Linked DNA regions of Daphnia pulex. The protein of the gene in region 3 interacts with the protein of the main gene of each other region in a biochemical or structural test. Links are inferred from orthologs where the notes say so. Each region holds a gene or a part of one and is shown on either strand. Other genes may lie near its edges. The genes, in order: ubiquitin-conjugating enzyme E2 W-like, ubiquitin-conjugating enzyme E2 N and E3 ubiquitin-protein ligase CHIP-like.

Evidence for each region.
Region 1: the proteins of E3 ubiquitin-protein ligase CHIP-like (region 3) and ubiquitin-conjugating enzyme E2 W-like form a complex in vitro, tested with the Homo sapiens proteins (7 studies listed by BioGRID, with this or other methods). The link is inferred for Daphnia pulex from reciprocal best matches to the Homo sapiens genes STUB1 and UBE2W.
Region 2: the proteins of E3 ubiquitin-protein ligase CHIP-like (region 3) and ubiquitin-conjugating enzyme E2 N form a complex in vitro, tested with the Homo sapiens proteins (11 studies listed by BioGRID and IntAct). The link is inferred for Daphnia pulex from reciprocal best matches to the Homo sapiens genes STUB1 and UBE2N.

The regions. Positions count from the first base shown.
Region 1 is NC_060027.1:2,995,266-2,999,265, forward strand, and holds ubiquitin-conjugating enzyme E2 W-like, read right to left. Parts: upstream 2,754-4,000; 5' UTR 2,217-2,753; coding exon 2,169-2,216; intron 2,102-2,168; coding exon 2,010-2,101; intron 1,933-2,009; coding exon 1,830-1,932; intron 1,757-1,829; coding exon 1,705-1,756; intron 1,626-1,704; coding exon 1,522-1,625; intron 1,454-1,521; coding exon 1,378-1,453; intron 1,300-1,377; coding exon 1,286-1,299; 3' UTR 573-1,285; downstream 1-572. UniProt on the Homo sapiens protein: Accepts ubiquitin from the E1 complex and catalyzes its covalent attachment to other proteins.
Region 2 is NC_060019.1:11,512,921-11,516,454, reverse strand, and holds ubiquitin-conjugating enzyme E2 N, read right to left. Parts: upstream 2,040-3,534; 5' UTR 1,843-2,039; coding exon 1,813-1,842; intron 1,685-1,812; coding exon 1,594-1,684; intron 1,521-1,593; coding exon 1,365-1,520; intron 1,128-1,364; coding exon 946-1,127; 3' UTR 582-945; downstream 1-581. Other genes in the region: YY1-associated factor 2-like, read left to right, coding at 1-20; protein AAR2 homolog, read left to right, coding at 2,625-2,791, 2,885-3,000, 3,064-3,180, 3,244-3,534. UniProt on the Homo sapiens protein: The UBE2V1-UBE2N and UBE2V2-UBE2N heterodimers catalyze the synthesis of non-canonical 'Lys-63'-linked polyubiquitin chains. This type of polyubiquitination does not lead to protein degradation by the proteasome.
Region 3 is NC_060019.1:9,014,829-9,018,531, forward strand, and holds E3 ubiquitin-protein ligase CHIP-like, read right to left. Parts: upstream 2,329-3,703; 5' UTR 2,133-2,328; coding exon 2,043-2,132; intron 1,961-2,042; coding exon 1,834-1,960; intron 1,774-1,833; coding exon 1,702-1,773; intron 1,630-1,701; coding exon 1,502-1,629; intron 1,418-1,501; coding exon 1,304-1,417; intron 1,237-1,303; coding exon 1,180-1,236; intron 1,102-1,179; coding exon 985-1,101; intron 928-984; coding exon 802-927; 3' UTR 582-801; downstream 1-581. Other genes in the region: CD82 antigen-like, read left to right, coding at 2,891-2,965, 3,159-3,374, 3,498-3,703. UniProt on the Homo sapiens protein: E3 ubiquitin-protein ligase which targets misfolded chaperone substrates towards proteasomal degradation.

The DNA.
Region 1 (4,000 bases), on a different chromosome or scaffold from region 3:
CTTATTCTTCTCTCTCTCTCTTTGTAATTCTATTTCAATTTCAAAATTGTTTCTTCGTTTCTCCTTAATGAATTTTAAAAAATGCAGTTCGGATTTTTGTAATTATTATTTTTTAAAAAAGGATAAAATAGCTCGGCGGATTTGTTTCTTCTCAGTGTGTACACGTCCGACGGAATACCGTGCAGCGCTCAATCATTTTAGATTTCCTCCTTTCTGATTTTATTAATTGATTTAAAAAAAAAGAAAAAACGAAAAAAAAAAGTTAAATTGTTTTTTTTTTTTTAAACCTTTCCCTTTTTATTACCCAGGAGAATTTGTTTGTCAAAAAACCTTTCTTCCTCTCCTTTTCTTCAGCTCATATCCGCTATATATACACTCCTCATATGACTGGCTATTTTAACATTAACATGAGTCATGGTGTGTGTGTGTATAATACGATCATTAATTGACGAATGACATTTTTTTTCAAGTCGCCCACCTTAATTAATCTCTACGTTTACCCAAAAGTATGTTTTGTCACGCCCTTCATTGCTGTTGTTATAGCGGAGTCTTAAAAAAAAGCTGTCGGAAACGAACTTTAATCTCTTCTTCTATTTCTTTCGAAACAAAAACATCACACAAGACACACACACACACACATCAAAAAATGTTCTCGAAAAGGATAATAAAACAGAAAAAGTCGATTACAAAATTTGCGCCCTACTACCCTCTGATTTTGAAACCATTTCAGAAATATACAATTCATTATTTACTTGGCTAATTCAAATCGTTTAGTTTTTTTGTCTTCCAAACGTGAAATGAAAAAGAATTTGAGTATAATAGTTGAAACAAATTTTATACGAGCGAAATATTTTTCGTTTAACATTTAAAGAATGGGTGGGGGTAAGATAAAACACAGTAGAAGGGGGGAAAAAGGCTTCGTAGATTTGATGTCGATTAAAAGTCGAAAAATCAAACGCCAAAAGTGTGAAACATTACACATCTGTAGTTTTTCGTGAATATTGCTACAAGTCAAAAATTGGAGAGTATCAACCGCATATTAATCAAGACAGAGAGGAACTGTTTCGTTATGCGAGGAAGTAGTAGGTCAATATCGGGAATGGGAAATCAACGCGATCGATTCGGAAGGGTGGAAAATTTTGACAACTGAAAAAAGAAAATCCATTTTTGTTTTCTTTCGTATTTTTTTGGCGACTAGATTGTCTCTGACGCGAGCATCGCCAGCGTGAAACAGGTTCTTTTTCTTTTCGTAGCGGGAATCGAGGGGGAGAGATATCAACCCGTTTTACACTTCTTCGTCTGGCAAATTGGGAAATGATTTATGGTTAAAAAAGATTAATAATAACTCGGGTTTAGGCGGTAGCCATTCAAACTCACCGTGGTACCACCATTTGGTTTTCTTTGGGTTCTTGCTGCACGTTTTCACGTACATACTGTCATCCGGTGGTCTCTTCTAACGGGTCAATAGTCGTGAATGAGTGATGGGTGAGAAAGATACTTTTTCACACAATTGAAACTGACCTTTTCTTTACAAGAGCTGAGCATTGAGATAATGGAAACACAGACCGAAAAAATGGACAGAGCCGGTGACCAGTCATCGGTCAATATACTGAGGCAGATGTGGCCTGAATAACCGAAAAGGTTGGAGAAAAGAGCCGCGGTTAAATTATTGACCATCTTTTAAGGGTTTCACGCTAGACAGACCGTTGCTGTAGACGTGCGGATGGACAGGGATCTCCGATCCGACGAAAACAACCTAAAGAGAGTGGTCTCAAATGAGTAAAACATACGTGTTGGTTTTGGTCAATTCGTTGACTGAAAGGTGTTACCTCGGGCGAATCGAAAGGGTACTTTGGTCCGAAACGAAACTGTAACTGAAACTGCTCCCCTTCGTAAATCGTTCCTTGAGCTCCATTAATACTCAACACCAACCTGGAAGTGAGATTTGAAAAAAATAAAGTGAAAAAAGTGTGATGCACTTGTCCAACAAAATGTCAAGTCAATCTTACAAGTCCAGGCTCTGGCCCACAGATTCTCCATCGATCACAACACCAGGAGGAGGTTCCTTGATCAAGGAGACAAGCTCCTTTTGCAGCCTTTTCTGTAATATTAAAAAAAAATTGAGTTTTATTTAGATACTGATCTATTCGGCAACAATCAGGGTTAACCTCTTGTCTCTGAAGAACACACGATTGAGTCAGGGATTTGTCACTCATATTCGCAGTGGGCACCAATAATGTGAGACACAACCACCAGCAAGTAATGCGAAAACTATACTCACCGATCCAAGAACTAACTTGCCACTTATGTAGCTTTCTCCTTTTATAGAAAGGAAATGTCACCAGTTTGACAGTACGCTGCAGGGTTTCACTTCACGTGAACCGTGCAAAGCCACACCAGACATGTGCCAAACTGACATGTGCCAATAAGTCAGAACTCTCTTCTAGGGTTTCATTTTCTCAGGTGACTCAATTGGGAAGAATAAGGAAGCAGTTGGTTGAATCTGTGCCATAACCGATTAGCAAGCTTCAAGAACACACACCATCTCCAGAGCAGTATAGCTATTTTTACCGCTAAAAAGACTTCCGAAACCTCAAACCGAGTCAAGAATATTACTTAAAAGAAAAGTTTTACTAGCAAAATGTCAAGGACAAGTCCAAATAATGATGAGATTGAAGGACAAGCTGACATGGCAACCGAAGGTTCCTCGAGTTTCATTTTCTACCAACTACGACTAGATAATTGCAGGCGGCTCTTTAACGTTTCGCCATTCTGAATACGTTCACACTTATTAAACTGAAGCATTTTTTTATTTAATATTTACCTGAGCAGGAGAACATGTGAAACGCGAGTGATGTGATGACATGTTTTGTTTTCTTCCTCCAAAAACGTCTGGGTATTTCGCAGACGCAGTTGTGCGGAACGCTGTGAATTGCGGAAAGCAGATGCGGAAGTTGCGAGTTCAACGACCGTGGAAACTGCCTGTAATAAACATTTATCGTCGTTTATTTCTTTTTACGTCGCAAATAAGATTGCCCTTCATCTCTGATTCAGCGAGTTTCTTTCTTTTCCAGTTCACACGCAGACAAAAAACAAACGTCAATAAGTTGGGGGATTCCAACGTTCACTGAACTTTTGTGGTTCGTGAGCGGAAACAATAACTACGCAAACGGGCCAAGTTGCGTCTTCCTTAACCTCCTTTGTCGTGCAATGTCACTGCTAACTGTCTAATTTGTGTCCCGCGTCAGCTAATTGGGACTGGGTACTGTACATCTCCTATATAACCTTAAGGCAGAAAGTTATCGATTGATGACATATGGTATTATAACAAAACTGAGACGTTGATGTTTTTTTAAAAAGGTGGGAGCCCTTATCTTTTACAAGTGACAACAAAAGCGTAACGGTAGTATTGTTTTCAGTTGGAGATATTTATGGCAGTTGCGAATCCTTTAAGGACTAACAAGATATAGTGACAACAGCAGTGTCATATTGACGTAACACATTATGCAATAGGTGTGAGTGACGCAAGTCGAGCGAATCGACGTTGTTTGATCGATTCTTCATTGTCTCGGCGACAGTAGTGGGAAACAACGAAGTATCAACATTTTTTTTTATTTATTTCGCAAATTAATTAAATAATTTTCTCCAGGCGAGGCTCGAACTCGCGACCTCGGCATTACTTTCAATCTTTATTTTGATGTTAGTTTTGCATATATTACTGTCTATAAGTACCATGCGCTAACCAACTGCGCCACTGGAGATGTTTTGAGAGGACCCAAAACTTAATTCAATTAATATTTTTCTGCAAACATTTGCCATTTTTGTTTAGTCAGATTGCATAATGCATTCTGATACACTGCGGATGTCTTATAACACGGTTTCTATTATGGCGCAAATAAAAAGTTTCCAACACAATTAAAAATGTACATTCTCTTGATTATCTCCGAGCACGACAGATGACATGGCTCAATCGTGTAGGGCATGAGCTTTCAGTTAAATA
Region 2 (3,534 bases), about 2.5 Mb from region 3:
ATCAAGAACATTCAGACTGACTAAAGTCGTTGCTCGTGATTCATTTTTTTATTATTATTTAGCATCTCGAGGTATTTTATTTGAACTGTATTTGTTTGCGCACCCAATTGACCCCATACCGATCTTTTCTCAACTGCCAAGAAGTATATAATTTTTAAATATCTATAAAGGCTATAATTTGGTCCCAACCGAATTTCAGTGAGATAGAACTGGAGCGACAGACGTCCAAACCGAAAACTATACATGAAAAACCAAGAGGCAGTTGTCTATAACTATTCTGGATTCAAAGTTTTTCCCTTTTTTTTTTTTGTAACCACGAAATTCCATAATGTTGGAGATTATTTTTGAGTGTTGGGAATTCCTGTTTCTGATCGGATCTCAGTACCAATATTCGCTTCCCTTTTTCGGTTTGAACCTACCTCATCTGAACGGTGCGAAGAGGTCGGGGAAGATTTGGTAAAAAATTGATTATGTCTGTCGAGTGGATGGTTTTCGTTTCGTGATAAATGTGCGCTCTCATCCGTCTTTATAATTTCACCCTCCTCATCCACGACAAGTAAATACACAGCTGTACAATTTGATACTCTAGACTTCCACGGGTGACGGCATTTTTATTATTCTTTAGTATCCTTTTGAGGTACTCGTGGTACTAAACGGTAAAAAGTGTAGGCTATCGACGATCATTTTAACGACGCGTGAATTGGAATGAACCGTCGATAGAACTTTTGACGAGCAAACAAAAGAAGATTGGGATATAAGAACGAGCAAAATGTAGTTTTTTGGCTGATCACCATCGGGGACAGTTCAACCAATTGAAGGGAGGGGAATCAGTCGACAAAGGCTGATGGACGAGGAACAAAAGAAAGCAAAATAATCTAAATTCAAACACAATTTCTCGGTAACGGATTGACAATTTTACTCTTTTTCCTTCCACAGATCCAGGTTTCATATGTTTCCCATAGCATAAGTTCTGGTCCATTCTCGAGCATTACGAATAGCTTCTACCTCGTTGACTTTCCACAACTCAGCAACATCATTGGCCAATGGATCATCGGGATTGGGCGCACTCAATAGAGCTTGAATCGACAACAGCACTGTCCGAATTTGCAAAGCTGGACTCCATTTATCTGAAAATATTAGAAAATATTAAACAAAGCCAAATCCACACACTTAAGTTTTTCAAGCAAATGCAACTTTCTGAAGTTAAAACTGATTTTTTCCCCAGTTACTTAAAAATTCAAAGCACAAATGTCATAACAATACAGGTATACCCTGATAACCAAAACACAAGATTATACATGCATAGAACACATAACACTTGACAATCTTGATAGAGCAAACACTAAAGTAATAAAAATAATCACCTTTCAGAATATCAAGACAAATTCGGCCAAGTTTATCAATATTAGGGTGATAAATCTTTGTCATGAATCGCACTTTAGGTGCAGACATTGGGTACTCTTCAGGCAAAAATAGTTCCAATTTGAAAACACCACCTTCAAATGGAGAACCTTCTGGACCTATGAATTTTAATCAATATGAACTAGTCAGTACCAGAATGACACTTTAAGGTTGCAATTTAAGTTTACAGACCTGCAACCACAACATGGAAATAACGAGCATTTTGTTCATCTGGAACTGCACTAATGCCTGGGACAGGCTCAGCCATCAAACGTTGAGTTTCCTATTGATCAAATTAATGACGAATATACTATATTGCTAGAGAATACTACCGGTCCCATAATAGGATCGGGAGAAAAAAACACGTTGCCTCCCACTTTGATGCAAGTCTACAATTAAGATTTGTGTTACCTTGATTATCCTTCTAGGTAAGCCTGCCATTTCGCATCAATTTGTTGAACAAACAACGAGTATAAAATAAGATTTTCGTATAATAGATGGTAACTTTAAAGCCAAATAGAGAAGACGGAAAGTTTTCACGCTATACGAGTGCCCTATTGCTAATTTAAGACGTTGTCAAATTGTTTGGTGACGAAAATCGGTAGGAGATCGACCCGGCCACACGGGAAGAATTAGACATATAAACATATTATTTTTCAAATTAAGACGATTTATTTAAAATGAACAAAGTTTATTTGAATTGGTTTACAAACGGAAATACACGAGAAAGCTAAACAAAAGGTATTGCTTTTCAAATGCCGGAAATGAGTTTAAACCTTTATTTCAGAACCGTAGAAAATGACCAGTAAAAATTTTTTGGTTAGATTAATTGGCTGTTCTGTTTGCGGAATATTTTAATTATTTTCATGAATCATCTAGAAAGAATTTCGACTTGAAAGTTGAAATAAATTGAAAAAGGGCAAATTAACTAATAAGGCATGATTAAGATTGAATGGCAGGCTTCAACACATAAAATTTTTTATTTTATCACTTTCTTCTCCTATCCTTCTTCATGTTAATTTTATTCCCTTTTTTTATGCAAAATTGCTAGAATTTAACTCGGCAAGTCGGCATCCGGTACTGATCTGACGTCTGACCTCCATGTTGTTTGTTTTTAAACTGTCGTCTGCTAGTATTGTTCGTTCATTGCTTTTGCGTGGTTTCATTCACTCAGCTTCATTCTGTTTTAAAATATAAACCATCAAGTGTCAAACACGGAAAGAATGGATCAAAAATTGGCTAACAAATTATTTGAAGAGGGCGCGTTTTTATTTCTTCTTGGCGTACCAATTGGGACTGAAGTAGGAATAGATTTCAACAGTTGGAGAACCGGCGAAAAATTCAAAGGCATAAAAATGATACCCCCTGGAATTCACTATATTTATTACAGGCAAATAAGTTATTTTTTGTTAGAACAGTTGTGTGAGTGTAACATTCACTGTGAGGTACAAAATGTGATTGTATATTTTTATATAATTTCTAGCTCTGTAAGCAAGGAAGGTTCCGTAGCGCCAAGAACAGGTTTCTTTTACAACTTCAATAAGAAGGAAGTTGTGGTCCGTAAGTGGAACCCAGAAATAGAAGATGTCATCAACGATTGTAATTTTATTTTATAAATCATTATTTAATATTAATTTATTATTTAGTGTTTATCCATAATAGGTACTGATGAAGAAAGAGAAAGTTTAAAAGCCAATTTAAAAAATCTTGATCAGCACTTGGGTCCATATCCATTTGATACCTGGAAGAAATGGATGTCTCTCAGCAGTAAATTGACAAGTATATTTTCTTATACATTATGTAATCTGTACAAAAATAAAATGTCTAACAATTAATATTTAGCTGATGTAGTTGGGAAAGTGGAACCCCTTCAGCAAAAGATTTCATCAGTTACAGAATTAATTTCATCAGAAGATGTACCAGCACCAGCAGAATCTCCAGTGAAAGAAAAAAGAATAAAGAGGTCAAATTATGAAGATGAATTACTACCGCACATGCAACCAAAGCCAGGCACAGCGTTAAATTTTACCAAAGTCCCTGTTGATTTCTATCCAGTAGGATCAAGTGCCATGGAAATCACTAAACATAGCATTGACACATCTTATTTACTGGAACAAATGCTGTCAACTTGGG
Region 3 (3,703 bases):
GATGCAACAACAAGTGCTAGGCTATGCATTAAATTGAAAAACTTCAACTTGAGACCTAGGAACAGGAACAGTAACGTTTCCGCCCTTGTATGCACACTGCAAGATACACAACAGACTTCTCTCTAGAGTGCTGATAAGATAATAACTGTAGTTGACGACGTGGCAAACACAATTTACCCATGGGACGTTTATTATAATTTAAGTGAATATCGGTCCAGTCCCGTGCTGTACCAGGATCGATAGTACCGTCCGTTCAAGTCGACCCCCCTGATTAATGACCAACTTAACCAACTCTGATACAATTGTCCTTGGCCACATCCACAACGAACCACGCCAAGCTCAATTAAGTGCTTAATGAAAGGAAACGTACCAATAGAGTTCGGCTGCAAATCATCAATTGCCTTTGGCTAAAGTAATAAAATCAATCACCCACAAACAATTGTCAGAGGAGACGATAATTTAGTCTAAAGAATATAACCTATTGAAAGATTGGAGCAATCCTACAGGTGTAGAATCTGCTCAAGGCGAACTCTGATCCCAATAAAATCAAATTTAATAGGAGGTTCATAATCAGGTATATATAAAATTTCCAGCATCGTCTATTGAAGTACAACAGCAATGTGCAATCAATAGCGAAAGACTGTATAGCAACATTTACTTCCTGATTATCATCCAACCCGATAGGAAACATCACAACTGGGGCTCGGCGATTCAAATCATAATATATATCGATTTCATTTAATACAATGCGGCGGAGTTTTTAAGAGAATCAAAATCAATGAATGATCCTTAAAAAAGTGGTTAGTAGTGCTGAGCCCATTCGTTTTCGGTCAGGTACGAGTCGACAACTTCTTTCATGGAGAAATTTGGAATCAATTGGTCTTTGGTCAATTTAACTCGCGTCACAGGGTCAAAATGTCCAACTCGCTGCGTAAAAACAAATCTTTTGGCTAATATCTACTAGGCAATTTTGAATTCACTTACCTGCAAATGTTCTTCGATGTCTTTCCTATCGTAGGTTATTCCTGAAGGAGTGATGACTGGATCTCTCATGATCTCGAAAGAGATTTTGCCACATAAATAGTCTGGAACTTCACGTTTCTAACCGACACAATTACAAAGACAATTTCTTAATGGTATAAGACGTACTGAAACACACAGTTGAATAATTTATAGTACCATTCTTCGGTCATCGACGGTTGCGAAAAGGTCATTCAATTCAGCCAGGTAGCGATCCTACCGATTTTAATCAAGTATTATTAGTCTACTAACGAAACAAGAAAAATACTCTAGATATGCTCACGGTGACGTTCTCTATGTTCGAAATTTCGTTTTCCACTGAACTGTATTCTTTGTCTTGACTAACCAAATCGATTTGTCGATCTCGATCCTCTCGAATGAGCCTATTTATATACATCTATCAAAATAAAATCCAAGTTTCAAATGAATCATAATTTTTTGCAAAGTGGAGTGGACAAAGAGAATGTTATTAACAGACTACCTGTAGTTCGATTTCTTGTGAAATTCTTTTCTCCTCCTGCTTTGTAAAATGATGCTTCTTTGCCAGTCTTAACTGACTGGTAATATCATCCCCAAAATTAAGTTTCTGATCCATCGAAAGATCACGGGCTAATAACAAGCAAATTTCAATAATCAGATTTTATGTGTTCAAAATTTATGTTAAGTTGGGGAAATGAGTACCCCTTTGAAGATGTTTTATTGCTTCCTCATAGCATTCTTTTTCCATTAAAGCTTGGCCCAGAAAGAAATGCCCTAAACATAATAGCAATATATAGCATTTTCAGAGTATTTTGAAGAATTTATACTAAAAACCTTTCACCCAAGTGTTGTCTAACTCTAAAGCACTTTTGCAATCTTGCACTACTGCATCCCAACGGCCAAGCTTGAGAGAGCAGAGAGCTCTATTTGTGTAGTATTGTGGAACAGAACCATTTTTAAGCTAAAGAAAACAATTACAATTACTTTGATTTACGCGTTGCAAAACAAAATAATTTATGCTTAATTTAATTAAAGAAATTTACAATGGCTTTGGAATAGCATGAAATTGCTTCATCGAAACGTCGAGCTAAAAACAACTTATTCCCCTGATCTTTGTGTTCTCTGTCACTCATTTTCTTCTCTAAAAAAGAAACTATTGGGTGCTGTAGGATCGAGAAAGAATTTAAAAAAGCAACACTATCACATAAAATAGATACGAAAACGTAATTGCACAATTCCAATTAACGTCAGATATTCTGACACTAAAGCGGAAAACAACAAAAACGCTTTTAATAAATAAACTATAAAATGCGGATGAAAGTAAAGTAAAGTGCGGATTGTGGAAAGACCTTTTCACCGCCATCTACCATCCAATAAAAATAGATTTTAATCTATGATGAATACGCGCAGTAGACGCCATAACGATTCCTATCTAATTTGAAAATTAGGATAAGAAAATTAATTAGAGCTGTTAAAGCAGAGAATTTATTGAAATAAGCAAAAGAAAAGGTTATTTGGAGTGATATACATCCGACCTGGATACACGCGCGTACAATTTTGACTGCGCACTGCTGGGCTTTAACCTAGAGAACAGTAGGCGATCCGCAGTGGTTATTCTGGTTATTTACTTATTTAATCGTGTGACCATCTCAGGAGTTAAAACTTCGAAGCGTGAGACCAACTGGTGGAGTCAACGTGGTTTTATGGATTACGATATTAATGATAGACGTCACTTTTTTATACCGTTTGGGTTCCGGCTGTATTGCTTGTTTGCAAATGTATTTTCTTTTACTCGGATTTTGGGTTTCCTGTTAGTGGTACAGTAAGTTTCCTTATCACACGGGCTTTCATTCCGATTTGAAATAGTAACTGGAAAAACAGTCAAAGGGAAATGACGGACGAGGTTACGTTCCGTTCCCACAAGATTTTACGATGGAGTTTTTTGTGCCTCAACTTGTTAATCCTGGTAAACATATTATTCTATTACAATGTAATTGTAGATTTGTTAAAATATTAACAGTTATATTATTCCAACGTGAGTTTACTAAAGAATTTAACTGAAGATGGTTGAAATTATCGAATTAAATGTTGCGTTTGGAAGACTGGGTTTGTTATTGCTTTTCATAAAATATGATACTGACATATTCTTTGAAATGCAGTTGAGCGGCATTGTATTAATCTCCTTGTCGGCGTCGTCACTTGTACAACGTCAAGAATTTGCAAAAGGATCAGACAAACAGAAATTTTTGGTGGTAAACGACAAATATATGGTTATGAACATCGTGGTTGCAATTGCCGTCAGCGGTCTACTCATATTTCTTAGCCTATTCGGGATGTGTGGTGCCTTTGGCGAGAAAAAATGCCTGATATCTTGCGTAAGCTCGTGTTTGTATAAAAAAAAAAAAACAAAAAAAGATTTTAGAGTAATTTTCTTTCTCCTTTGACTAAATGGAATATTTCGCTACGATGAATGATTGCATCGCACTGCTCGCCTTCAGTACCTGGTTTTCGTATTACTAAATCTTGGATTCGTAATTGTGGGAGGAATAATGGTTCTTCGCTTTTCCAAAATAACCGAAAATTCTCTGAAGGAAAACATTTCTAATTATCACCACAATAAAACTTCAAAAATTCGTGTGGATGAAATCCGAAGCAAGCTAAATTGCTGCGGAATTCACGCCTTTTACAATTTGACCTATCTCCA